4 linked regions of the Saccharomyces cerevisiae S288C genome follow. Changing the gene in region 4 together with the main gene of any one other region gives a genetic interaction. Each region holds a gene or a part of one and is shown on either strand. Other genes may lie near its edges. The genes, in order: TOR1, BEM1, MDY2 and YDJ1.

Evidence for each region.
Region 1: mutations in YDJ1 (region 4) and TOR1 together harm fitness more than expected from each alone (negative genetic interaction), as found in Saccharomyces cerevisiae (4 studies listed by BioGRID).
Region 2: mutations in YDJ1 (region 4) and BEM1 together harm fitness more than expected from each alone (negative genetic interaction), as found in Saccharomyces cerevisiae (3 studies listed by BioGRID).
Region 3: mutations in YDJ1 (region 4) and MDY2 together harm fitness more than expected from each alone (negative genetic interaction), as found in Saccharomyces cerevisiae (4 studies listed by BioGRID, with this or other methods).

What each region holds. Positions count from the first base shown.
Region 1 is NC_001142.9:556,557-567,932, forward strand, and holds TOR1 (phosphatidylinositol kinase-related protein kinase TOR1), read left to right. Parts: upstream 1-2,859; coding exon 2,860-10,272; downstream 10,273-11,376. Other genes in the region: chaperonin-containing T-complex subunit CCT5, read left to right, coding at 1-1,046; ARP3 (actin-related protein 3), read right to left, coding at 1,253-2,602; YAE1 (Yae1p), read right to left, coding at 10,463-10,888; RFC2 (replication factor C subunit 2), read left to right, coding at 11,087-11,376.
Region 2 is NC_001134.8:615,452-623,346, forward strand, and holds BEM1 (phosphatidylinositol-3-phosphate-binding protein BEM1), read left to right. Parts: upstream 1-5,420; coding exon 5,421-7,076; downstream 7,077-7,895. Other genes in the region: YBR197C (uncharacterized protein), read right to left, coding at 1-405; TAF5 (chromatin modification protein), read right to left, coding at 676-3,072; KTR4 (putative mannosyltransferase), read left to right, coding at 3,458-4,852; YBR200W-A (uncharacterized protein), read left to right, coding at 7,532-7,696.
Region 3 is NC_001147.6:105,414-112,200, reverse strand, and holds MDY2 (Mdy2p), read left to right. Parts: upstream 1-3,304; coding exon 3,305-3,943; downstream 3,944-6,787. Other genes in the region: YOL107W (uncharacterized protein), read right to left, coding at 1-99; INO4 (Ino4p), read left to right, coding at 315-770; ZEO1 (Zeo1p), read right to left, coding at 1,563-1,904; SHR5 (Shr5p), read right to left, coding at 2,312-3,025; Rab GTPase-activating protein MSB4, read right to left, coding at 4,013-5,491; putative serine/threonine protein kinase SKM1, read right to left, coding at 5,908-6,787. UniProt on the Saccharomyces cerevisiae protein: Required for efficient mating. Involved in the production of alpha-factor, the KAR9 and TUB1 location to the shmoo tip and nuclear migration into pheromone-induced shmoos.
Region 4 is NC_001146.8:501,504-508,719, reverse strand, and holds YDJ1 (type I HSP40 co-chaperone YDJ1), read left to right. Parts: upstream 1-1,622; coding exon 1,623-2,852; downstream 2,853-7,216. Other genes in the region: MTQ1 (S-adenosylmethionine-dependent methyltransferase), read right to left, coding at 18-962; AQR1 (Aqr1p), read right to left, coding at 3,236-4,996; putative glucosidase SUN4, read right to left, coding at 5,943-7,205. UniProt on the Saccharomyces cerevisiae protein: Probably involved in mitochondrial protein import. Is also required for efficient translocation of pre-pro-alpha-factor. Involved in heme regulation of HAP1, as a component of the high-molecular-weight (HMC) complex.

The sequences.
Region 1 (11,376 bases), on a different chromosome or scaffold from region 4:
ATCGTAAAGACGTGGATTTCGATTTAATCAAAATGCAAGGACGGGTTGGCGGATCTATAAGCGATTCAAAATTGATTAATGGTGTCATTTTGGATAAAGATTTTTCTCATCCACAAATGCCTAAATGTGTTTTACCAAAAGAGGGCTCTGATGGTGTTAAGTTAGCTATATTAACGTGTCCATTTGAACCTCCTAAACCAAAGACCAAGCATAAATTAGACATTTCTTCAGTAGAAGAATACCAAAAATTACAGACTTATGAACAAGATAAGTTCAAAGAAATGATAGACGATGTGAAGAAAGCGGGCGCAGATGTTGTTATATGCCAATGGGGGTTTGACGATGAGGCCAATCATCTACTTCTACAGAATGATTTACCTGCCGTAAGATGGGTAGGTGGCCAAGAACTAGAACACATTGCCATTTCCACAAACGGTCGCATTGTTCCAAGATTTCAAGACTTGTCTAAGGATAAATTAGGTACATGTTCCAGAATTTACGAGCAGGAGTTTGGTACTACTAAGGATCGTATGCTGATTATCGAGCAAAGTAAAGAAACAAAAACTGTAACATGTTTTGTTCGCGGTTCCAATAAAATGATCGTGGATGAAGCTGAACGTGCATTGCATGACTCACTATGTGTGGTACGTAACTTGGTTAAAGACTCACGTGTAGTTTACGGTGGGGGAGCAGCCGAAGTGACTATGTCCCTGGCTGTCTCTGAGGAAGCTGATAAGCAACGTGGTATTGATCAGTATGCATTCCGTGGATTCGCCCAAGCGTTAGACACCATTCCAATGACTTTGGCTGAAAATTCTGGTCTTGATCCAATCGGAACTTTGTCTACATTGAAAAGTAAACAACTGAAAGAAAAGATTTCCAACATTGGTGTCGATTGCTTAGGTTACGGGTCTAATGACATGAAGGAACTATTTGTCGTTGATCCATTTATTGGCAAAAAGCAGCAAATTCTTTTAGCTACTCAATTATGTAGAATGATTTTAAAGATTGATAACGTCATCATTAGTGGTAAAGATGAGTATTGATTTTGTATAAATAAATAATAAAAGATAAGTTTTAATCACATATCCCACAATTTTTTTTCTCAGATCAGCATTTGGGGTTACTTGATTGTACATATACGTGTATATAATCAGTTGTATACGTATATTTAAATGAAGTGAGGGGCGTTTCAGTTATTTGCATTTGTTTTTGTACCTTTTTCCTTATAAGATGAGTCATGACTCAATAATCAAACCATGTTGAAAAGGCTGAAATTTCTAACAATTTCCGGACCATATTCCTCATAATCTTTCTTAGTGTGACAGTAGCCTTTGAATTCGGCTGTTTGTGCCAGCAGCGAGCCACCAAACCAGACAGCGTTTCTCTGCTTCCGATGAGAAATCACGGAAACATCTACACCAGTCGATTTAGTTCCACTTAACAGCTCACTTTGTGCGATTCTGTTATTTACGATAGACTTTAGATCTCTTTGTAAACGACGTCCAAAATCTTTGAACATGGTAGACCCACCTGATAGTACAATATTGTTGTATAAACCTTTACGGACGTCAATAGGGCAAGCCTGGATAGTTTGATCCACTACCGTGGGTAAAGGAGTCAAGAAGTCTGAGGATGCAATTTCTGGATTGAAGAAGATTTCAGGTGCTAAGAATCTTTCGTAACCAATATCTACGACTTTTCTCCTTGTCTTTTCTTGGTTTTCCACCACAAATTGGGCAAATTTAGAAGGATCTTTATCGAATTTGTTAAACTCCTTTACAATATCTGGACAGACGTAACAGTATTCTTGCTTAATCTTTTCGGCAGTTCTCAAGGAAGTGTCTGCTTCACCACGTTCTCTTAGCAAGGATTGGATGAACAATGTGATGTCTCTACCGGCTATTGGAATGTTTTTAATTGCTGAGCCAATGACGTAACCTTCCGCCACTGGGATGACGTGGGTGACACCATCACCAGAATCTATAACAGTACCAGTTAATGATCTATCCGTGACTTTTGAAGAGGTCCATGACGCAGCCAGAGCCAAAACTGCTTGCACAGCAATATATAGACCAGCACAATTAAATGATTCAAAAAAAATCTCCGCCACTTGCTCTCTGTTTTCTGGAGGATTCAGTGGTGGTTCGGTCAATAGGAAAAAATGATCTTCAGGCTCTGTTCTTAAATACTTGAAGATGGAATTTTCCCAGAATCTTTCCATGTGATCCCAATTTTCCACTTGACCGTGTCTGATTGGATAGCTCAAAGAGTAAGAGGGTCCTTGGGATGCTACTAAAGCCTCATTTCCAATATAGAAATCCAAATCTTCTGTACCTCTTTTACCGGATAAATTATTAGACAGCAAACCACCTGTTGCACCATTGAAATTGGTTGCAGAGGTGGAATTTCCAAAGTATGATGCTTCATTACTAACTGCTGAGGGCGCACCAACGCCCGAGGACTTCTTTGTATTTGAAGGTGCAGCTGTGGCTATTGCAGTAGGGAAGACCCAGGAGGGAGAATCATTACCGGCGAAACCGAGCTTGGTCAGCCCGGTACCATTGTCCATGACAACAGCGGGATTGTTTAAGTATGACATTGAATCCTAATTTCTTGCTCAATCGTGAGGCCTTACGGTAGGGCCAATTCTTGATTAAACTACTCTCATATATTTTTGTTTGAAACTTTTGAAAAGGGGTTCTCGCCATTTTGAAGCCGCGGACAGCCGGGTGACTACTGAAAGTCCTTATCGAAGGGTCTTCTTGAGCTTACGTTAAAAAAGAGCCATAGTAGCTTCACGAGAGAGTCATTGGTAAAGTGAAACATACATCAACCGGCTAGCAGGTTTGCATTGATATGGAACCGCATGAGGAGCAGATTTGGAAGAGTAAACTTTTGAAAGCGGCTAACAACGATATGGACATGGATAGAAATGTGCCGTTGGCACCGAATCTGAATGTGAATATGAACATGAAAATGAATGCGAGCAGGAACGGGGATGAATTCGGTCTGACTTCTAGTAGGTTTGATGGAGTGGTGATTGGCAGTAATGGGGATGTAAATTTTAAGCCCATTTTGGAGAAAATTTTCCGCGAATTAACCAGTGATTACAAGGAGGAACGAAAATTGGCCAGTATTTCATTATTTGATCTACTAGTATCCTTGGAACATGAATTGTCGATAGAAGAGTTCCAAGCAGTTTCAAATGACATAAACAATAAGATTTTGGAGCTGGTCCATACAAAAAAAACGAGCACTAGGGTAGGGGCTGTTCTATCCATAGACACTTTGATTTCATTCTACGCATATACTGAAAGGTTGCCTAACGAAACTTCACGACTGGCTGGTTACCTTCGAGGGCTAATACCTTCTAATGATGTAGAGGTCATGAGACTCGCTGCAAAGACTCTGGGCAAGTTAGCCGTTCCAGGAGGTACATATACCTCTGATTTCGTGGAATTTGAGATAAAGTCTTGCTTAGAATGGCTTACTGCCTCCACGGAAAAGAATTCATTCTCGAGTTCGAAGCCAGACCATGCTAAACATGCTGCGCTTCTGATTATAACAGCGTTGGCAGAGAATTGTCCTTATTTACTCTACCAATACTTGAATTCCATACTAGATAACATTTGGAGAGCACTAAGAGACCCACATTTGGTGATCAGAATTGATGCGTCCATTACATTGGCCAAATGTCTTTCCACCCTACGAAATAGGGATCCTCAGTTAACTAGCCAGTGGGTGCAGAGATTGGCTACAAGTTGTGAATACGGATTTCAAGTAAACACATTAGAATGCATCCATGCAAGTTTGTTGGTTTATAAGGAAATCTTGTTTTTGAAGGATCCCTTTTTGAATCAAGTGTTCGACCAAATGTGTCTAAATTGCATAGCTTATGAAAATCATAAAGCGAAAATGATTAGAGAAAAGATTTACCAGATTGTTCCCCTATTAGCATCGTTCAATCCTCAATTATTTGCTGGCAAATATTTGCACCAAATTATGGACAACTATTTAGAGATTTTAACCAATGCTCCAGCAAATAAAATACCACATCTCAAAGATGACAAACCACAGATTTTAATATCGATTGGTGATATTGCATATGAAGTCGGGCCCGATATCGCACCTTATGTGAAACAAATTCTTGATTATATTGAACATGATTTACAGACGAAATTCAAATTCAGAAAGAAATTTGAAAATGAAATTTTCTACTGCATCGGAAGATTGGCAGTTCCCTTGGGCCCCGTTCTAGGTAAATTATTAAACAGAAATATACTGGACCTGATGTTCAAATGCCCTCTTTCCGACTATATGCAGGAAACGTTTCAAATTCTGACTGAGAGAATACCATCACTAGGCCCCAAAATAAATGACGAGTTGCTTAACCTAGTCTGTTCAACCTTATCTGGAACACCATTTATCCAGCCAGGGTCACCAATGGAGATACCATCGTTTTCGAGAGAAAGAGCAAGAGAATGGAGAAATAAAAACATCCTACAGAAAACTGGTGAAAGTAACGATGATAATAATGATATAAAAATCATTATACAAGCTTTTAGAATGTTAAAAAATATCAAAAGCAGATTTTCGTTGGTGGAATTCGTGAGAATTGTTGCACTTTCTTACATTGAGCATACAGATCCCAGAGTAAGGAAACTAGCTGCGTTGACATCTTGTGAAATTTACGTCAAGGATAACATCTGCAAACAAACATCACTACACTCTCTGAACACTGTATCTGAAGTGTTATCAAAGCTTCTAGCCATTACGATTGCGGACCCTTTACAAGATATCCGTTTAGAAGTTTTAAAGAATCTTAATCCATGTTTCGATCCCCAGTTGGCACAACCAGATAATTTGAGACTCTTGTTTACTGCACTGCACGATGAGTCGTTCAATATTCAGTCAGTAGCAATGGAGCTTGTCGGTAGGTTGTCTTCCGTAAACCCTGCATACGTCATCCCATCGATAAGAAAAATACTACTGGAACTGCTAACAAAATTAAAATTCTCAACTTCTTCTCGAGAAAAGGAAGAAACTGCCAGTTTGTTATGTACTCTTATCAGGTCGAGTAAAGATGTTGCGAAACCTTATATCGAACCTCTTTTAAATGTTCTTTTACCAAAATTCCAAGATACCTCTTCAACGGTTGCATCAACTGCACTGAGAACTATAGGTGAGCTATCTGTTGTAGGGGGCGAAGATATGAAGATATATCTTAAGGATTTGTTTCCTTTAATTATCAAAACATTTCAGGATCAATCAAACTCTTTCAAGAGAGAAGCTGCACTTAAGGCCCTTGGTCAACTTGCAGCCTCATCTGGTTACGTGATAGATCCTTTACTCGACTATCCCGAATTATTGGGTATATTGGTGAATATATTGAAGACAGAAAACTCTCAAAATATTAGGAGACAAACAGTCACTTTGATAGGTATACTGGGAGCTATCGACCCATATCGCCAAAAAGAACGTGAGGTTACCTCTACTACCGATATATCTACAGAACAGAACGCCCCGCCTATCGACATTGCTCTTCTCATGCAGGGCATGTCTCCTTCGAATGATGAGTATTATACCACTGTTGTCATTCACTGCCTGCTAAAAATCCTAAAAGATCCATCCCTATCATCTTACCACACTGCCGTGATCCAAGCGATTATGCATATTTTTCAAACCCTTGGTCTAAAATGTGTTTCATTCTTGGACCAGATCATCCCAACTATTTTGGACGTAATGCGTACATGCTCTCAGTCACTATTAGAATTTTACTTCCAACAGCTTTGCTCTTTGATTATTATCGTAAGGCAACACATAAGACCTCATGTCGATTCTATATTCCAGGCTATCAAAGATTTTTCTTCGGTTGCTAAGCTACAAATAACGCTTGTAAGTGTTATTGAAGCAATATCAAAGGCTCTGGAGGGTGAATTCAAAAGATTGGTCCCTCTTACTCTGACCTTGTTCCTTGTAATTTTGGAGAATGACAAGTCTAGTGACAAGGTCCTCTCCAGAAGGGTATTGAGACTGTTAGAATCGTTTGGTCCTAACTTAGAAGGTTATTCGCATTTGATTACACCCAAGATAGTTCAAATGGCAGAATTCACCAGCGGGAACCTACAAAGGTCTGCAATAATTACTATTGGCAAACTGGCCAAGGATGTTGACCTTTTTGAGATGTCCTCAAGAATTGTTCACTCTTTACTTAGGGTACTAAGTTCAACAACGAGTGACGAACTCTCAAAAGTCATTATGAATACTTTAAGTCTACTGCTAATACAAATGGGCACATCCTTTGCTATCTTCATCCCTGTCATTAATGAAGTTTTAATGAAGAAACATATTCAACACACAATATATGATGACTTGACAAACAGAATATTAAACAATGATGTTTTACCCACAAAAATTCTTGAAGCAAATACAACGGATTATAAGCCCGCGGAACAAATGGAGGCAGCAGATGCTGGGGTCGCAAAATTACCTATAAACCAATCAGTTTTGAAAAGTGCATGGAATTCTAGCCAACAAAGAACTAAAGAAGATTGGCAGGAATGGAGCAAACGTCTATCCATTCAATTATTAAAAGAGTCACCCTCCCATGCTCTAAGAGCTTGTTCAAATCTTGCAAGCATGTATTATCCACTAGCCAAAGAACTTTTTAATACCGCATTCGCATGTGTTTGGACCGAACTTTATAGCCAATATCAAGAAGATTTAATTGGGTCATTATGTATAGCCTTATCTTCTCCCTTAAATCCACCAGAAATACATCAAACATTGTTAAACCTGGTAGAATTTATGGAACACGATGACAAGGCATTACCAATACCAACTCAAAGCCTGGGCGAGTATGCTGAAAGATGTCACGCCTATGCCAAAGCGCTACATTATAAAGAGATTAAATTTATTAAAGAGCCTGAGAACTCAACTATTGAATCATTGATCAGCATTAACAACCAGCTGAATCAAACGGATGCTGCAATTGGTATATTAAAGCATGCCCAACAACATCATTCACTTCAATTAAAGGAGACATGGTTTGAAAAATTAGAGCGTTGGGAAGATGCACTACATGCTTATAATGAACGTGAAAAGGCAGGTGATACTTCCGTGAGCGTTACACTCGGTAAGATGAGATCCCTTCATGCCCTTGGCGAATGGGAACAGTTGTCGCAATTGGCAGCTAGAAAGTGGAAAGTTTCGAAGCTACAAACTAAGAAGCTAATAGCTCCCTTGGCAGCTGGTGCTGCGTGGGGGTTGGGAGAGTGGGATATGCTTGAGCAATATATCAGCGTTATGAAACCTAAATCTCCAGATAAGGAATTTTTTGATGCAATTTTATACTTGCACAAGAATGATTACGACAATGCTAGTAAGCATATATTAAACGCCAGAGATTTGCTTGTGACTGAAATTTCCGCGTTGATCAATGAAAGTTATAATAGAGCATATAGCGTTATTGTTAGAACTCAAATAATAACAGAGTTTGAGGAAATCATCAAGTATAAACAATTGCCACCTAATTCCGAGAAAAAACTTCACTATCAAAATCTTTGGACAAAAAGACTGCTGGGCTGCCAAAAAAATGTCGATTTATGGCAAAGAGTGCTTAGAGTAAGATCATTGGTAATAAAGCCCAAGCAAGACCTGCAAATATGGATAAAATTTGCAAATTTGTGCAGAAAATCTGGTAGAATGAGGCTAGCAAATAAGGCATTGAATATGCTACTAGAAGGAGGCAACGATCCTAGTTTACCAAATACGTTCAAAGCTCCTCCCCCAGTTGTTTACGCGCAACTAAAATATATTTGGGCTACAGGAGCTTATAAAGAAGCATTAAACCACTTGATAGGATTTACATCCAGGTTAGCGCATGATCTTGGTTTGGATCCGAATAATATGATCGCGCAAAGTGTCAAACTCTCAAGTGCAAGTACTGCTCCGTATGTTGAGGAATACACAAAATTATTAGCTCGATGTTTTTTAAAGCAAGGTGAGTGGAGAATAGCAACACAACCGAACTGGAGAAACACAAATCCGGATGCAATTCTTGGTTCTTATCTATTGGCTACACATTTCGATAAAAATTGGTACAAGGCATGGCATAATTGGGCCTTAGCTAATTTTGAAGTAATATCCATGGTTCAGGAAGAGACTAAGCTCAACGGAGGTAAGAATGATGATGATGATGACACGGCAGTTAATAATGATAATGTGCGGATTGACGGTAGTATCCTAGGAAGTGGTTCTTTGACTATTAATGGCAACAGATACCCGCTAGAGCTTATTCAAAGACATGTTGTTCCAGCGATCAAGGGCTTTTTTCATTCAATATCTCTATTAGAAACAAGTTGTTTGCAAGACACGTTGAGGTTATTGACTCTTTTATTTAACTTTGGTGGTATTAAAGAAGTCTCACAAGCCATGTATGAAGGCTTCAATTTGATGAAAATAGAGAACTGGCTTGAAGTCTTACCACAGTTGATCTCTCGTATACATCAGCCAGATCCTACGGTGAGTAATTCCCTTTTGTCGTTGCTTTCTGATTTAGGGAAAGCTCATCCACAAGCTCTCGTGTATCCTTTAACTGTCGCGATCAAGTCTGAATCTGTTTCAAGACAAAAAGCGGCTCTTTCAATAATAGAGAAAATTAGGATTCATAGTCCAGTCCTGGTAAACCAGGCAGAATTAGTTAGTCACGAGTTGATCAGAGTAGCCGTTCTATGGCACGAATTATGGTATGAAGGACTGGAAGATGCGAGCCGCCAATTTTTCGTTGAACATAACATAGAAAAAATGTTTTCTACTTTAGAACCTTTACATAAACACTTAGGCAATGAGCCTCAAACGTTAAGTGAGGTATCGTTTCAGAAATCATTTGGTAGAGATTTGAACGATGCCTACGAATGGTTGAATAACTACAAAAAGTCAAAAGACATCAATAATTTGAACCAAGCTTGGGATATTTATTATAACGTCTTCAGAAAAATAACACGTCAAATACCACAGTTACAAACCTTAGACTTACAGCATGTTTCTCCCCAGCTTCTGGCTACTCATGATCTCGAATTGGCTGTTCCTGGGACATATTTCCCAGGAAAACCTACCATTAGAATAGCGAAGTTTGAGCCATTATTTTCTGTGATCTCTTCGAAGCAAAGGCCAAGAAAATTCTCCATCAAGGGTAGCGACGGTAAAGATTATAAATACGTTTTAAAGGGACATGAAGATATAAGACAAGATAGCCTTGTTATGCAATTATTTGGTCTAGTTAACACTTTGTTGAAGAATGATTCAGAGTGTTTCAAGAGACATTTGGATATCCAACAATACCCGGCTATTCCATTGTCGCCTAAATCTGGTTTACTAGGATGGGTACCAAATAGTGACACATTCCACGTTTTGATCAGAGAACACCGTGATGCCAAAAAAATTCCGTTGAACATTGAACATTGGGTTATGTTACAAATGGCCCCCGATTATGAGAATTTGACTCTTTTACAAAAAATTGAAGTATTCACGTACGCTTTAGATAATACAAAAGGCCAAGACCTTTATAAAATATTATGGTTAAAGAGTAGGTCGTCAGAGACATGGCTAGAACGTAGAACAACTTATACGAGATCTTTAGCAGTTATGTCCATGACTGGTTATATTCTGGGACTAGGTGATCGCCATCCAAGCAACCTGATGCTAGATAGAATCACCGGTAAAGTTATCCACATTGATTTCGGCGATTGTTTTGAAGCTGCCATCTTAAGAGAAAAGTATCCAGAAAAAGTGCCATTTAGACTAACTAGGATGTTAACATACGCAATGGAAGTTAGTGGAATTGAAGGCAGTTTCCGAATTACTTGTGAAAATGTCATGAGAGTCTTAAGAGATAATAAAGAATCATTAATGGCGATCTTGGAAGCTTTTGCGCTTGATCCTTTGATCCATTGGGGATTTGATTTACCGCCACAAAAACTTACTGAGCAAACTGGAATTCCTTTGCCGTTGATTAATCCTAGTGAATTATTAAGGAAGGGGGCAATTACTGTCGAAGAAGCGGCAAATATGGAAGCAGAACAACAAAATGAGACCAAAAACGCCAGAGCAATGCTTGTTTTGAGACGTATTACAGATAAATTAACGGGCAATGATATCAAGAGGTTCAATGAATTAGACGTCCCTGAGCAGGTTGATAAACTGATCCAACAAGCCACTTCTATTGAAAGGTTATGTCAACATTATATTGGATGGTGCCCATTCTGGTGACTGCGGTGTCATTTTTCATTTCGTGCTTTGTTTACTATTTATTTTTTTTGTATTACGCATTTGTATACGTGTGCAAGTATTGTGTATTATTATTATTATTATCATTATTTTTGTAATATCTCGTCATTATGTGAAATGAAGGATGATATAAGGTACATAAATTGTGAAATCAACTCCATTTAAAACAACTTTATTGGATAGATGGCACATGGTACTTTTCACAATAGGTATTGGCAATATCAGTCCATTTTGTTATGAGCGGATGTTTTTCTTGCAAGTCAAAGTTTGGATCAAATATGGACTTACTAAGTACTTTGTTAATGCGTAATTCTTTTTGAGCATCAATATATGCCTTACTGAGGTCCTCATCTTCATCACCAAAACGTGTTCGTAGGCCAAGTAAAATCCCCATAATTATGCCAACTTGTTTCCCTAATTTAGCGCCCGTTGGGAAACCATCATTGAAACCCTCTTGCAGCTTTTCTTCTTTAGAACTCACTATTCCGTCCAAGTACCCCCTCTTGCTATGATTCTCTCTTAACTTCACTAAATCTGGAGATCGTTCAGTTTCGACATCACTGTCTGATGCCCATACATCGTCCCAAGTATTCGACATCTCTATATACTATTGTAACACTGTTCCTTTTTTGTTCTCTTCTATCAAAAACCTTTCTCATCGTTATTTTTCACTCTTTTACTTCGCGTATTTCAAAGCAATCAGGAAGTAACTCAAGCGAACAAGTCAATGCTATAAGAGAAGTAAAATAGAGAGACAGCGAGAAATACTGGGGGAAAGTATTGGCAATCACTTGAGATGTTTGAAGGGTTTGGTCCAAATAAAAAGCGTAAGATATCAAAGTTAGCCGCAGAGCAATCATTGGCACAACAACCCTGGGTTGAGAAATACAGGCCCAAAAACCTAGATGAAGTGACAGCTCAAGATCATGCCGTTACTGTTTTGAAGAAAACCTTAAAGTCAGCTAATCTACCACATATGTTGTTTTATGGTCCCCCAGGAACTGGTAAAACGTCTACCATTTTAGCGCTAACAAAAGAATTATATGGACCCGACTTGATGAAATCAAGAATATTGGAGTTGAACGC
Region 2 (7,895 bases), on a different chromosome or scaffold from region 4:
TGGGAACCCGTCGTTGACGATAGGTTCTTTCGCCATCTTCTTCACATCATCCAGTGTATCGATTTCAGACCATGATACGTCTTGCGTCTCCGTAGGTGCCAGGTTTGAGTGCATTGTTATACGGCTACCATTTACGCTTCTTTCGTATGCAGTATTACCCCTACTAATGCTGGTCGTTAAGGGGTTTAGTGCTGGAGGCGTGGTTAGGTTTTTGGTCGGAAGTGCGTTGGAACTGCCCATTATAGAGGCAGTGGAATCTGAAGATCCCTTTCTTTTATCTTTGTCGCTCTTTGCCTTTAATTGAACCAGCTGAGGGTTTCCTTCCTGGCTACTAGATTTCCTTCTGTTGGTGGAATCCGCGTCGCTTACTTTCACCTGGACTGGTGGGGTTTGCTTCACTCCCATTATTTGTCTTCGTTCGTGCCAGCAACATACATTTCATCTTATTTCTCTGGAAGGTTTTTACAACAACCAGTTACATTTTTCATTTTTCTGTTCTTCGCCTTTCTTGTTTTGGCCCCGATGACTGAGCGAAAAAAAAAAGGCTAAAGAAGACGCTATGATAACCGCCGAGCAGGTCAAGTACGATGTCGAAAAAGCATCTAATAGTTACATATCGGATTAGGTTATACTTATTACATATCACTTCCATGCTGTTATTTTTTTCAGTGTGAATTATGGCCTGAAAGCACCTCCTGCAAGGGCTAAATTGCTTCTGCTGAACTTGACCTTAAAAACAGGCGTCTTTTTGGTGTAGAACGACGCTACTAAATCGCTTGTAGGTATTACTGTTCTTCTGCGACCATATTCTTTTATATCTTGGTTTATAGATGCAGTAACGTCACCCAAGTATCCAATGAATGGCTCATCTGGTTCTGCGCTTGGCTCAGTAGTGGCCTTTTTCAAATCCCATACACGGACTGTATGATCGGCACCTCCACTAATAAGTACGTTTCCCTCTTTGCTATATGATAAGGAATAAATGGCATTCTTACCATGGCCACGCATTTGTTTCAACCTTTTGCCGGTACCAATATCCCATACATTAATAATACCATCTTCGCTACCAGTGGACAACCACCTACCATCTGGACAAACAGCAATAGAAATGACGGGCGCAGTATGTCCAAGAAATAACCTAACCGAGTCGCCTGTAGAAACGTCCCACATTCGACACGTCTTATCGCTGGATCCCGTAAACACATAGCAACCGTTCGGATGAAATGACACACAATCAACATCATTTAAATGTCCTGCAAATATTCTTAATGGATATATGTGATCGCATGACCATAACCTTGCGGTTTGGTCGTGCGATGCAGTGGCGAAATAATGGCCTAGCGGGGAGAAACTAACATCCCACACAGGGTGATTATGGCCCTTATAGCTTACTAGCGCGGTGTGAGTATCCATGGACCATAGCCTGACGGTTTTATCTTCAGAACCAGAAAGTAAATACTTATTATCCGGACTGAAACTTGTTGAATATACTGTACCACTGTGCCCCACCAAAGTTTTACACGTTGGGTCTTCATCCTTGTCGTTGTTATTTAACGCGATGTTAGGATTATTAAGTGATGAGCCGTCGAGTGACCAGATCTTGATATAACTGTCTTGAAAGCCAGCAGCCGCTATCCTACAATCATCACTGAAATCTAAACATGACATGTCTTTATTTGTGTTTTGGAATGTATACATGCACACGCTTGGTAAGGCCAACTGTAAATTATCTAGTTTGATGGCATCACGAGATTCCTTGACCTTCTGAATCTCCAACTTCAAATCTAGTGCCGTCTTTGGTGGTAAAGGTAAAATATCACGTGCTGGCGAAGATAAATTGCTGTCTTTTTTTTCACCATCCACCTTCAATTCGCTCTCTTTTTTTTCCTCATCTTTGGCGATTTTATCTTTAATTTTGTCTTTATCATCGTCGCCAGTATTATCCTTAAATTTTTCGTTATTCATAGCTTTATATTCTTGCAATAAGGTTCTATTGTTGGCTCCACTGTAATTGTCACCTGCAGTTTGTTGATTTAGTTGTTTCTCTTGATCATCCTTAATTTTCAATTCAGTTTCAATCTCCTTAACAAACTCCTCGTCTTTTGGGAAAGGTCCCAGCTTGACAGGAACAGAATTCATTTCTAAATTTTGTTTACCATTTCCGTTTTCACTATCACTGAGAACTTTTATTCCATCAGCCAATTTTTCCCTTGCGGTTACTGATTCTACAATATTTGGATCTAGGTGCTGATTTATTACACTAATTATTAATGAACCTCCAATACTCTCATTTTCATTCAAAAAATATAAGAGAAGATTTAAAGTGGTTTTAGACATAGTAATTCTGTACTTGTGAGATTGGAAAGCACTTGCGACCTCATTTTCCTTGATGTGATCTATAGAATTGACACTGAAAAGTCTATTAATTTCTGAGCCATGGAAGTCCTTAAAATCGGGAGAAAATCTATCAAAGAAACGACGGGCGTAAACAGGATTTTTGGCCACCAAATTTAAAAATAAATAAATGAATATTGGGTACATGATGTAGCTTAGTTCCGGCTTGTAAATTTCCAGCGACGAATCTACCCAGTTTTTCAACATTGAATATGCACGTATATAATTTTCAGGTGCGTTGAGCCCTTCTAGTCGCCCGCTAGATACTATACCACCTTCTGCATCTCTCTTGGATGACAAATTAGTTGGATTGCTTATGGGTTTAGCTGTCTTCCCGGGGTTCGGAGGAATTGATGATTGTTCAGGAAATTTACCTGTTTTAGTATTTGCTGGTGATTGTTTGTTTTGAGGTGTTAGTGTACGTCCACTCTCGGCTCTCAGCATGGCCTCTGTACGGTGGTATCCCTTTTTATTCAGGTACTCTAGGACAATTCTATTCAAGTCTGACGCCGAAAACGGACCATTGGACCTCCCCTGCTGTTGAGACTGGCCTTGACTCTGTTGCTGTGGCTGCTGGCCGGAATTGGCGCCAGCAGCATTATTAGTTCGTTGATTCTTTACTGGTTGTGGCTGATGCGTGCCATTTTGATTCTGATTCGTACTTTGCTTCTGTGACATTCTTATTTTTCAAGTATCTCAACTTGAACCCGGAGTTTCTCGTATCTTTTCTCCTTCTCTTTTCCTACCCTTATGCCTGCTTTATTGCTCTTTCTGCCACTTTGTAGACTTCATTTGAAATCTTGAAACTTTTTTGCTTTTGAACAATTCATCTGAACCCGTAAAAGATGATATTTACAGCTACTTTTACCCGGCTAAGGGGAGAATTCCATTCAACGGAACGAGCTCTATAAGACGTTCTCTAACTGCATGTAGTGAAATATTTTGAACCATTTGATATGCAGATACTTTCACGGTGTTGCACGGCTGTATAATATACAATAGGCCGTTACAGCAGAACACAATTTTTAGTTTAGACCCAACAAGGTGAACCATACGAACTGATATGAGGTTTCTTTCAAAAAGGATACTGAAACCTGTACTTTCAGTGATCATTCTAATATCGATTGCCGTAACCGTTGTTCTTTACTTTTTAACGGCGAATGAGAACTATTTGCAAGCAGTCAAGGATAGTGCCAAGTCCCAGTATGCTTCTCTCCGGGAGAGCTACAAAAGTATTACAGGTAAAACTGAAAGCGCTGATGAACTTCCTGATCATGATGCTGAGGTGTTAGATAGCATAATGGACAGGCTACACGAGCCCCTTTATGAAAAGGACACTTTTGACCCGAATGAAGTCCTTGCTGAAAATAAACAGTTGTACGAGGAGTTTTTACTTCAAGAAATTTCTGAGCCAAAGGTGGACAATTTGGTACGTAGCGGGGATCCGTTAGCCGGCAAGGCAAAAGGAACTATTTTGAGTTTGGTGAGAAATTCTGATTTAGAGGATATAATTTCTTCTATTCAACAGCTAGAAGAGGAGTACAATAAGAATTTTGGATATCCCTATACCTTCCTTAACGATGAGGAATTTACTGACGAATTCAAAGATGGAATAAAAAGTATTCTTCCTAAGGACCGTGTAGTAGAATTTGGCACTATTGGTCCAGATAACTGGAATATGCCTGATAGCATAGATAGGGAGAGATACGACCAAGAAATGGACAAAATGAGTAAAGAGAACATTCAGTATGCAGAGGTGGAATCCTATCATAACATGTGTCGTTTCTATTCTAAAGAATTTTACCATCATCCTCTGCTATCTAAATATAAATATGTGTGGAGATTAGAGCCAAACGTGAATTTCTATTGCAAAATTAACTATGACGTTTTCCAATTTATGAACAAGAATGACAAGATTTATGGGTTTGTTTTGAACCTCTATGATAGTCCGCAAACCATCGAAACGCTATGGACTTCAACTATGGATTTTGTCGAGGAACACCCAAACTATTTGAACGTCAACGGAGCCTTCGCATGGCTAAAAGATAACTCTCAAAATCCAAAAAATTATGATTATACTCAAGGGTATTCAACTTGTCATTTCTGGACCAATTTTGAAATAGTCGATTTAGACTTTTTGAGGTCAGAACCTTATGAAAAATATATGCAATATCTTGAAGAAAAGGGAGGATTCTACTATGAAAGGTGGGGTGATGCCCCTGTAAGAAGTTTGGCACTTGCTTTATTTGCGGATAAGTCAAGCATCCATTGGTTCAGGGATATAGGTTATCACCATACTCCGTACACGAACTGTCCAACTTGTCCAGCAGATTCAGATAGGTGTAATGGAAATTGTGTACCAGGCAAATTCACTCCTTGGAGTGATCTAGACAACCAAAATTGCCAGGCAACCTGGATAAGACACTCTATGTCTGAGGAAGAGTTAGAAATGTATTGAAGACATTAGCTTTGAGAATTTGTGCCGCTGCTTTCGAGAACGGCATCACATCTGGGGTTTTATGATTTAATTTAGGACGCACATAGATAGATATATATTATGGAATTAAGAAAAGTTTATAATGTAGCAACCTAAAAATGTTACAGGTGAACATTCATGGAAAATGAAATGTTTCTCAGCCAGTAGATAGTATTGTTGAAGGTATTATTGGTTTGAGAAAGCTACTCCTCAAAAATGTCACTTGATAATATGGAATTATAATGTCGTTATATTTTCAATCATTTCAATACAATATGGTAAACCGAAATCCAAAAACTTTACAATATCTCTTATCTATTGTTATTCGACATTCTTCCCGGGCCTTAACGGCTTCTTAACTAATATTACCCTAAACGGACAAATGGCGAAGGGCCCCATTCATTTACGAACAGGAAAAAAAGAAAGTGACAATACAGCCATAATTTGATGTACCATCTTAATCAGCATATGTTTTCACTAATATACTAAACCCATATGGATGCACGTTGAAAGCACTGTGTGAAAAGAAATTGTCAAGAAAGCCATATAAATGCTGAAAAACTTCAAACTCTCAAAAAGAGATAGTAATGGGTCGAAGGGCAGAATTACATCCGCAGATATTTCCACACCTTCTCATGATAATGGGAGTGTTATAAAGCATATTAAGACAGTACCAGTGAGGTACCTTTCTTCATCTTCCACCCCAGTGAAAAGCCAACGGGACTCTTCACCAAAAAACAGACATAATTCTAAAGATATTACTTCTCCAGAGAAAGTTATAAAAGCCAAATACAGTTATCAGGCACAAACTTCAAAGGAACTATCTTTCATGGAAGGTGAATTTTTTTATGTATCTGGAGATGAGAAGGATTGGTATAAAGCTTCAAATCCTTCTACTGGAAAAGAGGGTGTTGTCCCCAAAACCTATTTTGAAGTGTTTGATAGAACTAAACCTTCCTCTGTGAATGGATCCAATAGTTCAAGTCGGAAGGTTACAAATGATTCATTAAACATGGGATCGTTATACGCCATTGTTTTATATGACTTTAAGGCAGAAAAAGCTGATGAGTTGACAACTTATGTGGGAGAGAATTTGTTTATTTGCGCCCACCATAACTGTGAATGGTTCATTGCTAAGCCAATTGGTCGACTTGGAGGGCCCGGCCTTGTTCCTGTTGGGTTTGTTAGCATCATAGATATTGCCACGGGGTACGCAACAGGTAACGACGTAATAGAAGACATCAAGTCAGTTAACCTACCAACTGTTCAAGAATGGAAAAGCAACATTGCAAGATACAAAGCTAGTAATATTAGCCTTGGTTCTGTGGAGCAGCAGCAGCAGCAATCCATTACAAAACCTCAGAACAAAAGCGCAAAGCTGGTTGACGGTGAATTATTAGTGAAAGCATCCGTTGAATCCTTTGGGTTAGAAGATGAGAAGTATTGGTTTTTGGTTTGCTGTGAATTATCTAACGGTAAGACGAGGCAACTGAAAAGATACTATCAAGATTTCTACGATCTGCAGGTTCAACTTTTGGATGCGTTCCCAGCAGAGGCCGGTAAGTTGAGGGATGCAGGTGGACAATGGTCCAAACGTATAATGCCCTATATCCCTGGACCCGTTCCATACGTTACCAATAGCATAACAAAAAAAAGAAAGGAGGACTTGAATATATATGTGGCAGACCTAGTGAATCTTCCCGATTATATATCTCGCTCAGAAATGGTGCATTCCTTATTCGTTGTTTTGAATAATGGTTTCGACAGAGAATTTGAAAGAGACGAAAATCAAAACAATATTAAAACATTACAAGAAAACGATACAGCAACCTTTGCAACAGCATCTCAAACTTCTAATTTTGCCTCAACTAACCAAGACAACACTTTAACTGGCGAAGACTTGAAGTTAAACAAGAAACTCTCAGATTTATCTTTATCGGGCTCCAAGCAGGCTCCAGCCCAATCAACTTCTGGATTGAAAACTACTAAAATTAAATTTTATTACAAAGACGATATTTTTGCTTTAATGCTGAAGGGTGACACAACCTATAAAGAACTTCGTAGTAAAATCGCTCCAAGGATTGATACAGATAATTTTAAATTACAAACCAAATTATTTGATGGTAGCGGGGAGGAAATTAAGACTGATTCACAAGTCAGTAACATAATCCAAGCCAAACTGAAAATTTCCGTTCACGATATTTGAATCTAGTGTTAGAAGACGAAGCATTTTTCTTCTTTACTTGGCAGATGCACATAGGTTGAACATTTTAATCAACTTTATGATGATTTGCGAGAGTAATAAGATTCTCCCGAACAGTAATAATATTAAGGTATCCAATTCTTCCGAAACAGCGTGATTTGTAATAAAAATAAATAAGGACATATATGTATATAGAAAGTTGCTTAAACTTTTTAGACCACTTGGAAATATTTTTTATTTATATTTTTCTTCAAATGTAAAGTTGGGTACCTAAGCTTAAATTCACCTGAAAATGAATTATATGAAAGATTTTACACCACATGTAAAAAAAAACGTACAAAAAGCCAAATATTTCCACTCAATCATAATGCATGAATTATAGGTATTTTAAGTTATATTGCTGACGTAAAATTCAGAAGAGACTACAAGAAAAATTCTGAACATATTTATTCTTAAATATGCTTTTGTGCTTCCATATGTGTCAAAGGATAATGTGGCTCCCTTTCGATTTAATGAAGTGGCGTAGATTTCATTGTGGCGCTGTTCTTGTTGGAACACTGAGCTTACGTAACCGCAGCCCAAAGATACTTTCTCTTTATTTTATTAGCGATAGGACAGGCTAAAATGATAATCACTATTAATCAAGCAGAAAGTAATTGAAATTATTGTAAATCGAAATACCTGTAATGTAGCAAAACTTTTCGTGGTTGTTACAGCAACTTTTTATACTTAATATAGCAAGAGTATCCGTTTTTATAAGGCCTACACAACGGAATCCTCTTGATTTCCTTTTTTCTTTGTAATTTACCGACGCACGAATAC
Region 3 (6,787 bases), on a different chromosome or scaffold from region 4:
ATAAGTGACTGTAATAAATTTAGTAGCATCAGGAATCTTATTGATATTTAAAAATGAATCCGGGATATTCAATTCTAGGAACCTCGAACTATATTGCATTATAGTGAACAAATATCTTTGTTATAAATAGATTAGTCGTCTTCTTTTTCTTGGCTTGGTTTGTATGAGCTTGTTACGTATCAAACAAAATATTCACATGTTTTTCTCACCTTAAAGACAGAGGCGCGATTGCGTTTGCGAAATTCCAATGCCAACAAGATAAGCTTGACGAAGGAGTTAAGAGGGCGGCTTGAACTAAAAAGAGAAAAGCAATAATGACGAACGATATTAAGGAGATACAAACAATACAGCCGGGATTGTCCGAGATTAAGGAGATAAAGGGTGAACTGGCTAATGTGAAGAAAAGGAAACGCAGGTCTAAGAAGATTAATAAATTGACTGATGGTCAAATACGTATAAATCATGTTTCGTCTGAAAAAAAAAGGAGAGAATTGGAAAGAGCTATATTTGACGAACTGGTAGCAGTAGTACCTGACCTGCAACCCCAGGAAAGTCGGTCAGAACTAATCATATACCTGAAAAGCTTGAGTTACTTAAGTTGGTTGTATGAAAGGAATGAAAAGCTGAGAAAACAAATCATAGCTAAGCATGAGGCAAAAACCGGCAGCAGCAGCAGCAGCGATCCCGTACAAGAACAAAATGGAAACATTCGGGATTTAGTACCGAAGGAGTTAATTTGGGAGCTGGGTGATGGACAGAGTGGTCAGTGATTCAAGGAGTAGGGTAAAGTAAGTAATATAAGCGAAGAAATTCTTCCCATACCTTTTCTTCACTTTGCAGAGGGGAGTGGTGCATATCCCACAAAGAAAAGTAGCAACAACAATGATATATATACGTTACTACTAATGCTTTCCTTCATCGAAAGTGTGCCGAAGTATTTATTTAATCTTTTAGTGTTCAACTTACTATAATGTGATACTTTTTCAATATTGTTTGCCGTTGAAGCGATAGTGCTTTATGTCATTTTATCTTTCTTTTACATTGTTTTATTTTAGAGCTAAAATTGAACATCAGTTTGCAAGAAGTCAGTTGGTTGGCCTTTGCTATTAAGAGACCATAATGTTATAGTGATTGAGATCAGTTTCACCAACTAATAACAATTAACCCGGGCGGTTAGTGTAGTGGTTATCATCCCACCCTTCCAAGGTGGGGACACGGGTTCGATTCTCGTACCGCTCATATTTTTACTTTCTTATCAAACTTTTTTTCCTCCGGGACGTGAAATAACCGCCGAGGTTATTCTCGGAGCATTCTTTTTTGTGGCTTTTGATCATCCATCATCATCATCATCATCATTATTACTACTACTACTACTACTACTATTATTATTATTATTATTATTATTATTAGTATTATTATTATTATATTGATTAGTTATTAGATAGATACAATTAAGAAAAATTTATGTAAAAGGTCAGAATAAACAGCATTTTTCTCCTCTTTTTTTATTTTTAAAAAAAGAAAAAGAAACTTCTAGTAAAGTGCAGCACATTCAAGTGTGATTAGTTGAAAATGGAAGCAATTTTACGGTTCAATTTCTTCAAGAAACCGCCTTCCTTCTTGGTTTCCTTCTTCTCACTGACGGCGGCGGAAGCTTGCTTCTTAGTTTCTTCAACTTTGTTGGCAGCTTCGGTCTTCTTTTGTTCGACACCATCAGCAATGTTTTGTTCTTCCTTCTTCACCTGTTCAGCTTCTGGAGTAGCTTCATTTTTTAGGTTGTCGATAGAAGCTTCAGCTTGTTCCTTTACTTCTTGGCCCTTGTTTTGCAAAGATTCTTTGGTTTCTTCCAACTTTTGTTGGACATCTTGGGCGGCAGTTTCAGCTTTGTTTTGAATTTCAGACATTATTAATTGATATAAACGTAGTTTTGTATGTTTCTTTGATTTGAACTTTTAAGTATACAGAGAAAAAAACCGATCAAAGAAAACTAAAGTATAATGAGGTTAAAAACGAAAGTAATAAAGTAGAAAGGCTATCAAGCAAACTGAGATGATCTTCGACGTAAAAACTCGCTCTATATATATACGCCATATAAGCCCATCGGCGATGGGGGACAACACGAAGAAACAAGAGAAGAGGAGAACCGCACAGAAAGCAGCAGAAACAGAGCAAACCAGCATTAACTAAAGATGATAAAAATAAAATTAGGTAAGAAACCTTAATTGGATATACAAAAATACACTGGAGGCACAAATCGCCATCGATATAAAACACGATAAAGCCCTGGTGCACCCATAAACCACACGTTTAACTATTTGGGTCGGGGCACGACGAAATCTAGGGATAGGCACCCGGACCGTCGGGGCAATACTAGGCGCACACCGCGCTCGTGAAGCAGACCTCCCGGCGAGTTTAGCTGCGCCACGTACTGCTCTAACGCGAGAGACTCCTGAAACACAGGTCTAGAAAGAAGGGGCCCCAAAACCCAGCTCCACAGACCGCCCGTAAGCATATCGAGCAACAGGCCACTTAAGTTACGCCACCCGAACACCTCACCTTCTTCACGCAGCAAGAATCCGTTTACCCGGTGCACAACCTCCGCGAGCTCTGCCGCACTAAGATATTCTGACAGAGGCGAGACGGAGGAGCAGCCAAACACGTGATCCCCAATGTCGTAACGCCCGCACCGCACAAAGCTAGTGCCATCGTCGCCCACGATTGCCGCCGGCTCGCTACCGGGAAGCTGTGTACTAAATTGTGGCGTTTCAAGGCTGCTGCGAGACTCATCGAACCGCCGGGGCACTCGTACCACCCGGGTCACCTGGAACTCGGCAGAGCCCCGAGCAGCATACACATTCGGGAAATGTGTAATACACAATTTGTGGTCTTCGTCGTGCTCTGTGGGTTTAGCGTCTTCGGAACCGAGGTCTTCGTAGAATGAATACGAAAACTCATGGTAATTAAAAAATAACGCCCTTTCGCTCGTATTTGCGTTATCTTCTTCCTTTTGATGGCTATCGCACATCTAGTAAGGGTTAGATTGAGTATTGTCCTCTAATGTAACTTTTTCCTCTTATTCCTCTCCTCCCCTTAGCTATTATATATCTTTTTTACCGAATCTTGAATTAGGAATAGTTTTAAAATCAGGCCGGAGGCCGAGCTTGCGACAACTACGACCAAAAAAAACAAAGGAAAAACGAAAAGAAGAAAACATGCACAGGAGAACATAGTTGGAGAAAAGGGTTAGAACAGACCGATACAGAGATAAACTAGCGAAGAATAATAACTTTATACAAAATTAATCATGAGCACATCCGCCAGCGGTCCAGAACACGAGTTCGTTAGTAAATTCTTGACCTTAGCCACTTTAACTGAACCGAAGCTACCAAAAAGCTATACTAAACCTCTGAAGGATGTTACCAATTTGGGTGTCCCGTTGCCTACTTTGAAGTATAAATATAAGCAGAATCGTGCCAAGAAGTTAAAACTGCACCAAGATCAGCAAGGTCAAGACAACGCCGCCGTCCACTTAACCTTAAAGAAAATTCAAGCTCCCAAGTTCTCCATCGAGCATGATTTCAGCCCATCAGATACTATCTTACAAATAAAACAGCACTTGATCAGCGAGGAAAAGGCCTCCCACATAAGCGAGATAAAACTGCTTTTGAAGGGCAAAGTCCTCCACGATAACCTGTTCTTATCGGATTTGAAGGTCACGCCTGCCAATTCCACAATCACAGTCATGATTAAGCCGAATCCGACTATATCTAAGGAACCCGAAGCCGAGAAATCCACTAACTCCCCTGCTCCTGCTCCTCCACAGGAACTCACTGTGCCCTGGGATGATATCGAGGCTCTTCTGAAGAACAATTTCGAGAACGATCAGGCTGCGGTTAGGCAAGTCATGGAGCGTCTACAAAAAGGCTGGTCTCTGGCCAAATAAGATTAGTATAGTTAGTACGTACATACTTGTTATTTTACACAGTTGCGCTTTTTATCACGGTTGCGCTTACTATTTTCTTCTTTCCTTTGGGCGGCTACTCGCCCTTTGTCTATTTCTCGCCATCGCCACATACTCTCTACCGCGATCAATCTTTTCCTGGGTAATACCATTCAACGCAACCTTCTTCTTCATCAGGACTTTCTCAAAGATATCATTCGGATTGAGCAATCTTTTTGGGAAATTTTGAATCACTTGCAAAATCTCCATATCTGCCTCTTCCTGCGTCTTAATCTTGTTCTTTAATCTTTTGAAAGTTGAATCAGAGTCATTACTACCACCGAAGGTGTACGAAGAGTACTGTCTAAACAGTTTCTGGCTTTTACTCTCCAAAAACTCGCTTTCGCTCAATTTCAGTATCCCCAAAGCCACTTTAAATAAAAAATGAGACTCTTCATAGAATAAACAGTCCCATATTCTCAGGGTCGTTTCGATGGGCACCACGCCCACAAAACAGCTCATAAACCAACTTGCCGTACACAGCGTCAGCGTAGGCAGCCTGCAGAGATATTCTTCCCCCGATGCTGGCCCTGATATCTGGTCAGTGCTGCCATTGCCATTCATATACGATGACTCAATGTGTGACCATATCTCGGGTAAATATTCCTTGATACATAACACCAACACCCCTTGATCCACGTTCGCACCCTCTAAGTCTGATTCATACACGCCAGGTAAATACTTACCGGTAATAATAACCAGCATCCAAAATGCTTTCTCTTCTTCCATGAACAATAATAGCAATCCAACGAGAAAATTCATCGATTGGCAGTATCCAATAGTCTTGTCATAAACAGAAAAGGCCATTAATACTCGACGCAATGATCGGATGATCGCCGGCTCTCCATTTTGGAAGGACTCCTTATGGAAATGTATATTATCGGGAAACGTTCGATAAAGATCCCGTTCTATAGCTTCCATATCTTTACCAGATACGGCACCCTCGCGACAGTCACTTTTCAGTCTATCATAAACGCCAACATTTGCGTCTAATTGTCGTTGTCCACCAGCAAAATACCACCAGGCATTCCCTCTCCATTCTGCTGGTATACCTTTTCTAACAAATTTTGACAATTCATCTGTCCTTGCAGGATATACTAGAGGATTATCATTGTGGAGCTCAATCTTATTCTTAAGAAGAAAGTTCTCCCACTTTTTTTTTCTTCTTTCGGTGTATCTATTATATTCTGTCCACCATTTGTCGTATTCTTCCTGACTAATGAAATATCCTTTCTTGCTAAATCCATATCTATCAAAATTCTCAGGATCTGCCATGATTAAGCTGGTAAACGCCTTTGCTTTTTCAAGCTCACGTGTTGTCAATATTTCTTTTCGTTCTACTGTAGAACTATCATCCCCTTCATCGTCGTCATCGTATAAATCAAGAACGCTATAATTGGCATCGTCTTCGTTGAATGACGAAACTGTGTCAAAAACACTTTCGTTCGGTACCAAGGCGGCTTCTGTCGACATAGTTGATGACATTATCATCCTGTCATGCCGGGTTTTGCCTTCTGTGATTGTAAAAGTGTGCGAGTCTTCCTCGATTTTGAATTACTTCGGTGCCAAATGTACAAAATACTATCCTAACTTTTCAAAAATAGTTTATTCTTATAAAATCATCCGTAAAATGATTAACTGTCCCCGCTAAAAGCGTTTGTAAGCTCAGTTCATAGATATGTCTTCCATCCGTAAATCCGCCTAACGAATAGCAACACATTCTTTTTCCTTTTACATTTTCTATTGACATAACGCGAAGCAAACGTATCATTGTTGTTTTTTTTCTATAAATAATCAAAAAGAGTAATTGTTTTAGATGAAATAAAAATGCGATTAAAATATGAATCATACATACGTATATACATATATATATATATTGTTTCTCCTAAATAAAAAAAAGCTAAATTTCAATGCCACTTTAAGGATACTTTGAGCTGCTCAGGGCTGCATGCCATTGACAAAAATTCAAACGTTAGTAGTTTTCTCACGGATGCTCTTGATTCGACATTCACTTGCAAACAGGCATCTAAGAATTGTTTGGTTTGCTTGGACACTGACTCTGGATGACGCAATTTTGGTGAACCGTTGTTAGCTATCAGATACAGCGCCTTCAAAGGATCCTCATTTAGGTAAGGCGGTTCACCTTCTATCATCTCAATAAGCATTATCCCTAGAGACCAAACGTCGACTTTTTCATCATATCCCTTTTGATTCACTATTTCAGGTGCCATCCAATATGGAGTACCTACCATTGTGGCACGCTTGCTTCTTTTTTCTGTTAATTCCACACAAAAACCGAAGTCTGTAATTTTCACTAACCCTTGGGAATTCAGAAGGATATTATCAGATTTGATATCTCGATGGATAATTTTCTTGTTATGCAAAAACTTCAAACCTTGGCACGTCTCTTTTACTATATATGCCATTTGGTTTTCGTTTAACGGCGATGAGTGCTCACCGGTATTGCTCCTTGCTACAGCATCCAATATATCTGTTAAGCAGCCACCTTCCATGTACTCCATTATCACCCATAACTCTTCGTCATCAATAATATAGGCTTCAAGGAAATTAACGATATTTTCTTGGCGCGAATCATTCATCACTAGGAGTTCATTCATAATCAATTGTTTCTTTGGTTGTTCAGATAAACGTATCTGCTTAATGGCCACTCTTTCGCCTACGACTCGGTGGCAATGTGATTTCAAGAATCTCGGGTCATTTTCTTGAGGTAATTTTATTCGCTTTGACAGGTATACTGCACCACTTGCTCCTTGACCAGCCTTTTCT
Region 4 (7,216 bases):
TATTTACATTTATATACTTAGTTGCAATTAGCTTTGTGCCCACTGAGTGCGGTTGCTAAATGTCTTATAGTCCCAAAGGATGCAAAAATCTGGTGTAGTATTCGCCCTTTGGGAGTGGCCTTAAACCCATATACGACTCTTGCTTTCCCATTCGAGTCATATTTCAAACCAATAGACCAAATACGGCTGAGATATGAATCTTCTTTAATGCGCCTCTCCACGTAATTAAACTGTTCAACGTCTCCAATCTCATAAAAGAAGGAGTCTGTCTTCGGCAGCCAATAATTTACTAGATTTATATAGCATTCAAGCTCACCCACTAGCGCTAGCCTTGGTTCGAACAGCTTTACGGAAGTTTTAACATCTCTATTGAAGTCACGCTTTCGAATGTAGGGGGGGTTACCGGTTAATATATCTATATGGGATGGATATTCATCGCTAGCTTTTGAGGACAATATATTATGTTGCACGAGCTTACCACCACTCACCTTGTTTTTCAGCATATTTTCTTTAACCAACTTAATTGCTCTTGTTGACACGTCAATGGCAGTGAACGTGCAATTTGCTATACCATGACTCAAAGCGAGAGCAATACACCCTGTTCCTGTAAACGTATCACAAATATGCAGTGGTATAGTATGCCTTGAAAGCATAGAGTTGTTTAGAGCTCTTATTATGGCCATCACCCATTCCTCGGTTTCCCATCTTGGTATAAGAACACCAGGCTTGCAAACTATGTCCAAGGCCCCAAACGGTTGCGATCTTAAGATGTACTGCAATGGGACGTGTTTGTATCTCTGTAAGCAAGCCCAGCGGATTGATTTATCCGGAGGCAGCTCTTCGGTGAGCCATTTGTACTCGAGTTTCGCTTGCTCGAGAGTCCTACATTCTGGAAGCAAAAGATGCAAACCAGGTCGTATTCTCGAAGCTTTTCTTATCAATGATGTAGATATTCGAGGCATATGTTCTTTCTAACCGTTTCTTTTTCGTTCCTACCATTCAACTATCGCTCCTTGTCTACGAGTTAAGGGGAAGAGAGTGCAGAGTTTCTAAAAGCACTTGAAAACGTAACAAGACATTGACCGTAGAGAGTCGGCAAAATAAAGTCGTTTATACACGTTTGAGTTGTGTGTATTCAACTATGGAATACATTGTTATAATGAGTATGTTGGTATAAAATAAGATGTGAAGTCGCTGGTTTGAGCACGTGATATACACCTGACCTATAATATTTCGTACAAAATTATAGAAGGCCATCGAAAAAATAGAAAATTTTTTCATTTCTTTTTCAAGAAATGAAAAGGCAATAGAGCATCGGCAGGTATGGAAAGTATTTAACTTGCAGATCAATCCACGTACTTATAAAACGTGTAAAAACTTGCTCTACGTTTATATGTTGGTTAGGTAGTTCTTGTTTGATAAGGTGTGTAGTTCGTTTTTATAAATCAAAGTCACAAAAAGTCCTTTTCCCCATATATATTAGGCCCGAACAAGCGTCTTATTTGATAACTGTTACGTATTTATTTTTTTGTTATTTGTTACCATATCTTTTGATAGAACATAATTAAAAATTATCCAAACTGAATTCTACATCTTCCAACAACAATAATAAACGTCCAAAGATGGTTAAAGAAACTAAGTTTTACGATATTCTAGGTGTTCCAGTAACTGCCACTGATGTCGAAATTAAGAAAGCTTATAGAAAATGCGCCTTAAAATACCATCCAGATAAGAATCCAAGTGAGGAAGCTGCAGAAAAGTTCAAAGAAGCTTCAGCAGCCTATGAAATTTTATCAGATCCTGAAAAGAGAGATATATATGACCAATTTGGTGAAGATGGTCTAAGTGGTGCTGGTGGCGCTGGCGGATTCCCAGGTGGTGGATTCGGTTTTGGTGACGATATCTTTTCCCAATTCTTTGGTGCTGGTGGCGCACAAAGACCAAGAGGTCCCCAAAGAGGTAAAGATATCAAGCATGAAATTTCTGCCTCACTTGAAGAATTATATAAGGGTAGGACAGCTAAGTTAGCCCTTAACAAACAGATCCTATGTAAAGAATGTGAAGGTCGTGGTGGTAAGAAAGGCGCCGTCAAGAAGTGTACCAGCTGTAATGGTCAAGGTATTAAATTTGTAACAAGACAAATGGGTCCAATGATCCAAAGATTCCAAACAGAGTGTGATGTCTGTCACGGTACTGGTGATATCATTGATCCTAAGGATCGTTGTAAATCTTGTAACGGTAAGAAAGTTGAAAACGAAAGGAAGATCCTAGAAGTCCATGTCGAACCAGGTATGAAAGATGGTCAAAGAATCGTTTTCAAAGGTGAAGCTGACCAAGCCCCAGATGTCATTCCAGGTGATGTTGTCTTCATAGTTTCTGAGAGACCACACAAGAGCTTCAAGAGAGATGGTGATGATTTAGTATATGAGGCTGAAATTGATCTATTGACTGCTATCGCTGGTGGTGAATTTGCATTGGAACATGTTTCTGGTGATTGGTTAAAGGTCGGTATTGTTCCAGGTGAAGTTATTGCCCCAGGTATGCGTAAGGTCATCGAAGGTAAAGGTATGCCAATTCCAAAATACGGTGGCTATGGTAATTTAATCATCAAATTTACTATCAAGTTCCCAGAAAACCATTTCACATCAGAAGAAAACTTGAAGAAGTTAGAAGAAATTTTGCCTCCAAGAATTGTCCCAGCCATTCCAAAGAAAGCTACTGTGGACGAATGTGTACTCGCAGACTTTGACCCAGCCAAATACAACAGAACACGGGCCTCCAGGGGTGGTGCAAACTATGATTCCGATGAAGAAGAACAAGGTGGCGAAGGTGTTCAATGTGCATCTCAATGATTTTCTTGATAAAAAAAGATCAACTTATTCACGATTCATTTATTCATCATACTTTTCACTTCAAAATACAGTTTTGTAGCTATACATATGTAAAGTAATAATGGTAGAAAATGCAGTTTACCAAAAAAAGTTCTAATTATGACGAAATCTTAAGGAAAGAGTAAAGCAGGGATTATATGCTGAAATTTCCACTGTATATATTTGCCACAGAAAACCATTTTTTGTATTAGGTATATTTAGTGCACCTTTAACATGTCAATAATTCAACGGAAAATTAACGAAGTAAATAATACATTAATTAGGAAAAATTTACATGAAAGTCTATAAGCTGTTTATAAAAAAAATATGCAGGGATAAGTGTCTATCAAATTGAAGAATGCCAATTAATTATGATTATCGTTCTGGTCTCTTTTTGTTCCCTTTTTGGCTTTGACTGCCAAGGTGTTTAACCAAGACTGTCTTTGTTGTTTCAATAATCTATCCTCCCTCCACTTCATACCATATTTCATCGGAATAAACATTAAGAAGTTGAAGAAAAATACCAGCGCACATAAAAATGTAAAAGTACCACCTACAGTCATCGCAGCTTTCATTTTGGCAAAGCAACCCATGAAGATGGTACTCAAACTGCACCTAACAAAGTTGAAACAACTACTTGCTGTAGATGATTTCGTTGGGTACAAATCGACCAATAACGTAGTTGATGTTGATAATGTACTCATAGCACAGTATGAACAGACAAATGAAGTAATTAAAATAGATTCGATCCTCCAGCCCTTATCTATACTCCAACCAAATAAAAGATAGGCTACGACGGCCAAGAAATTTTGGGGCAGAAGACAAACTAAACGGACTTTGAACATATTAATCTCTGCGTCTTGTGGAATCAACCCGTTAGCTTTGTCTTGCTCGAATTTCTTGATCTTTCTCTTGAAATACATGTCAATAATTCTACCTGTGAAGAAGGAACCCATTAAACCGCCAATACCACCGGGTAGATAACACACACCAATAATGACCAAATGATAGTTGTATGGCGCCACTGATAAACCGGATGAAATAGAGGAAAGCATTAACGTCCACATAGCAAATAAGAGCCCTGATGGAAATAAAGACAGAATAATTTCTGGCAATACAAGGATCTTCCCGGCGGATGACAAATCTAGTTTCGGAATGGTGGGATCTAATGTCTCATAATCAGGATTATCGTACTTGAATCTCCTTCTAACTGGGCCCAGTAGGAAAATCGGCGCTCTGTTGATGAATCTTTTAGGCTTAATGGAAAGGTTACCTGCAATGGTTCGCTTTGTTTCTGGCAAAATAAGAAAGGCAATTAGAAAACAACTTCCACAACCAATGGTCAAAAACCAAAAGATAGCTCTCCAATCCCACCTTGCAGTCAGGACGGCACCAATAAGACTACCAAAACATTGACCCAGTAAAACAAACCCTGAGGTGGCGCCAACAAATGTACCTCTTTCATGCTTCAAAGTGAAGTCCCCGACAACACCAGAACTGATTGCAATTGTGGGGGAAATACCAATACTCTGAATACACCTCAAGAAGATAATAACACCGTATGATGGAGCACATGCTAGCCCGATGGATGCAATAACGTATATCAGCATACCTGCTAAAATTATAGGTCTCCGTCCAAAGCAATCCGCCAGACCACCGCTAACTGTGGGAGATATACCTTGAAACAACAGATACACAACCACAGTAACGTTAACCATATTTTCATCCACATTAAATTGCTTTTCCAACTGCCTCAAAGCGGGATAATAGATCGGTGATCCCAATGAAGACCAAAAGCCACACATTGTTAGAATTGCAACCATTCCCCACTTCTGACCGTAACTTAGTAAAGTATATGGCGCTTTTGTCTCTGCAGTTATCTGTTGGGTTGGATCAACTTTATCATCACTGGAGTGAGAAGAAGTCTCAGAGTCTAAATCGCCTTCTATTTCCCTTGTGGTAGTCTTGGATAGAGTCCCGTGACTGTTGATATAAGCGCCTTCGAAATTTAGTTTTTCACTTTTCGTTTGACCATCTGGTTTTGTGTATTCTCTCGTCAGATGCTGCTCATTGTGAGTAGGATACATCTCAATATCTTCTGTGTATATACTGTTACTTCGTGACATTGCTGATTCGACTTTCTGAATCTAGCTTGGATTCTCAAAAAAATAAATTTATCTCCGTATAAATGCTAACTTTGTAAGCCTGGAAAAATCCATAATTTTATATAGAACGACAATATTAGCAATAAAAAGTTAGTAAAAAGTGTATAACCTTGACAGTGTTAAGCGTTATATAATATTGAGTATGATCAACTGTATCCTCGATGAGGGCAGAGAAGTTTCTTTTTCCTTGCCCTAAGGTGCCCGCAACTTCCCGGTGACGAGAAAAAGAAACGTTGGAACGGCTTCTCGTCTGAAGAAAACAATGCAGGCCGGGCATTTCACGGAACAAAAACGGTTCCATCAAGCCGGGTGATTCATAAATTATCCGATACCGGAACAAATCGGTGAGAGATTTTCCGATGGAGGACGGGTAACGAGCCGGTATTTACCGATCTATGGAGTTTCCGAGTCATTACGGGTCCTTTTGTTTTCGTGTATGCTCCCTTCCCCGTAAGAAGTATACGTAGGAAGTGCGGTCTGCGCTGGACAGTATAAAACGGAAACAGGAGTCATCGAGGGGCTCCGGATTTTTTTTTCTTTTTTTAGCATTTAGCCTAATTGCACATTGTGAATAGATTGCCGTAGTAGAAAAAAGCCTTAGGAGTAGATAGCATACGGCAACAGAACTACAAAAAAAAAAAAAAGAGATTTGATGTCTTTTTTTTTTTTTTGGGTGGTTTTTAGGACAATGAAAGAAGAGGTGTGCGATGTATGTAGGTTTTCAAATGTCTTTAATATTACAAAATAATTTATGTCTGGAAGAATGATAAATAGAAACAAAGTAAAAAAAAATTGATATTAATCCGGCGTGGGTTTTAGTGTATGTTAAACAGACAATAAAATGGACGGGCAGAAAAGAATGGGGTAATAATACAATCAACTTACTCAACTGTTGATGCGCCTAAGTTTAGTTGTATAGAACAAACTTAGCTTTGCCAGCAGTAACGGAAACGGTACAACCGTCAGAGCCACCGCTGAAGCTACCGTTTTCATAGATACATTCACCGTTGACTGTAGAAGAGTCATCAGCGGCGACAATTTTGACATTGAAATTCAATGCGTTACCGTTGTTTGGGTTGGGAATCAAAGAAAGGTAGGCGACACCATCAGAAGAACCAGCGCCAAAGTTCAATGGAGCCCAATTACCGACGCCTGAACTTGAAGAACCCCAAACACAAGCATCTTCGACAGAAATACCGGCATTGTTAACGTAGTATTGCGCGGATGTCTTCAATCCTTGCCAAGTGTAGTAGGTGTCCTGATCAACGACAGTCAAGGGTAAAGAGTCACCTGCTTGCACATATGTAGGAATCACCATGTTTTCGGTACCCGGGTAATCGGTCCTGCAGATAGCAACATCGTTGCTCAATTCAGAGACGACGTAAGCGGCATCAACGCCCCATTCGCATAAATAGTCAGTATCTGTATTTGAACGGTACAGGTAGCCGTCCTTACATAGCAAACCACCAATGGATCTGCCGTCAGATGGTTGGTCAGAAGGCCATTGTGTCTTGGACATACCTGGTTGGCAAGCGTATGAGCAGTAAGACCCTTCTTTACAAGAGCCACCCGTAGAAGTGTCAGTATTTTCAACACCAGACCAGCCACCTTCATCTAACCAGCTGATGGGGATAACACCTTGACCAGATGGAAATTGGCCGCAAGGAATGGTACCGTCTTCAAATTTTTCATATGGACCTGAAAAGTCAGCCAAATCACCGTAGATACTTCCAGTTGCACTGGAAGCTGCTGAAGATGTGGAAGCTGACCCAGATGTGGAAATAGGCACAGAGGATTCGCTAGTAGAAGTTTCTGAAGATGTCAGAGTTGTTTGAGCCGAAGACGAGGTGGTAGCGATTTGTTCAGTACTCTCAGAAGAAGAAGCAACTTTGGAAGAAGACTTGGTGACCGAAGATTCGGAAATCAGAGTAGTAGTGGAAGCAACTGTAGAAGAGGCTTCAGTTGAGGTTGGAGTGACGGTCTGACCATTTTTATCGACAGTGACTGTTTCGTAAACGTATGTAACTGCAACGGCCCTCTTATGCTGGTGTGAACCATGAGCAGTAGTAGTACATCCTGTGTCAATATCAGCCGCATACGGCAAAGCGGAAACGATTGTGCTATAACCGATCAATGAAGCCGCGGTAAGAGTGGTGGCGGACAGTTTCATTTTATCAAATT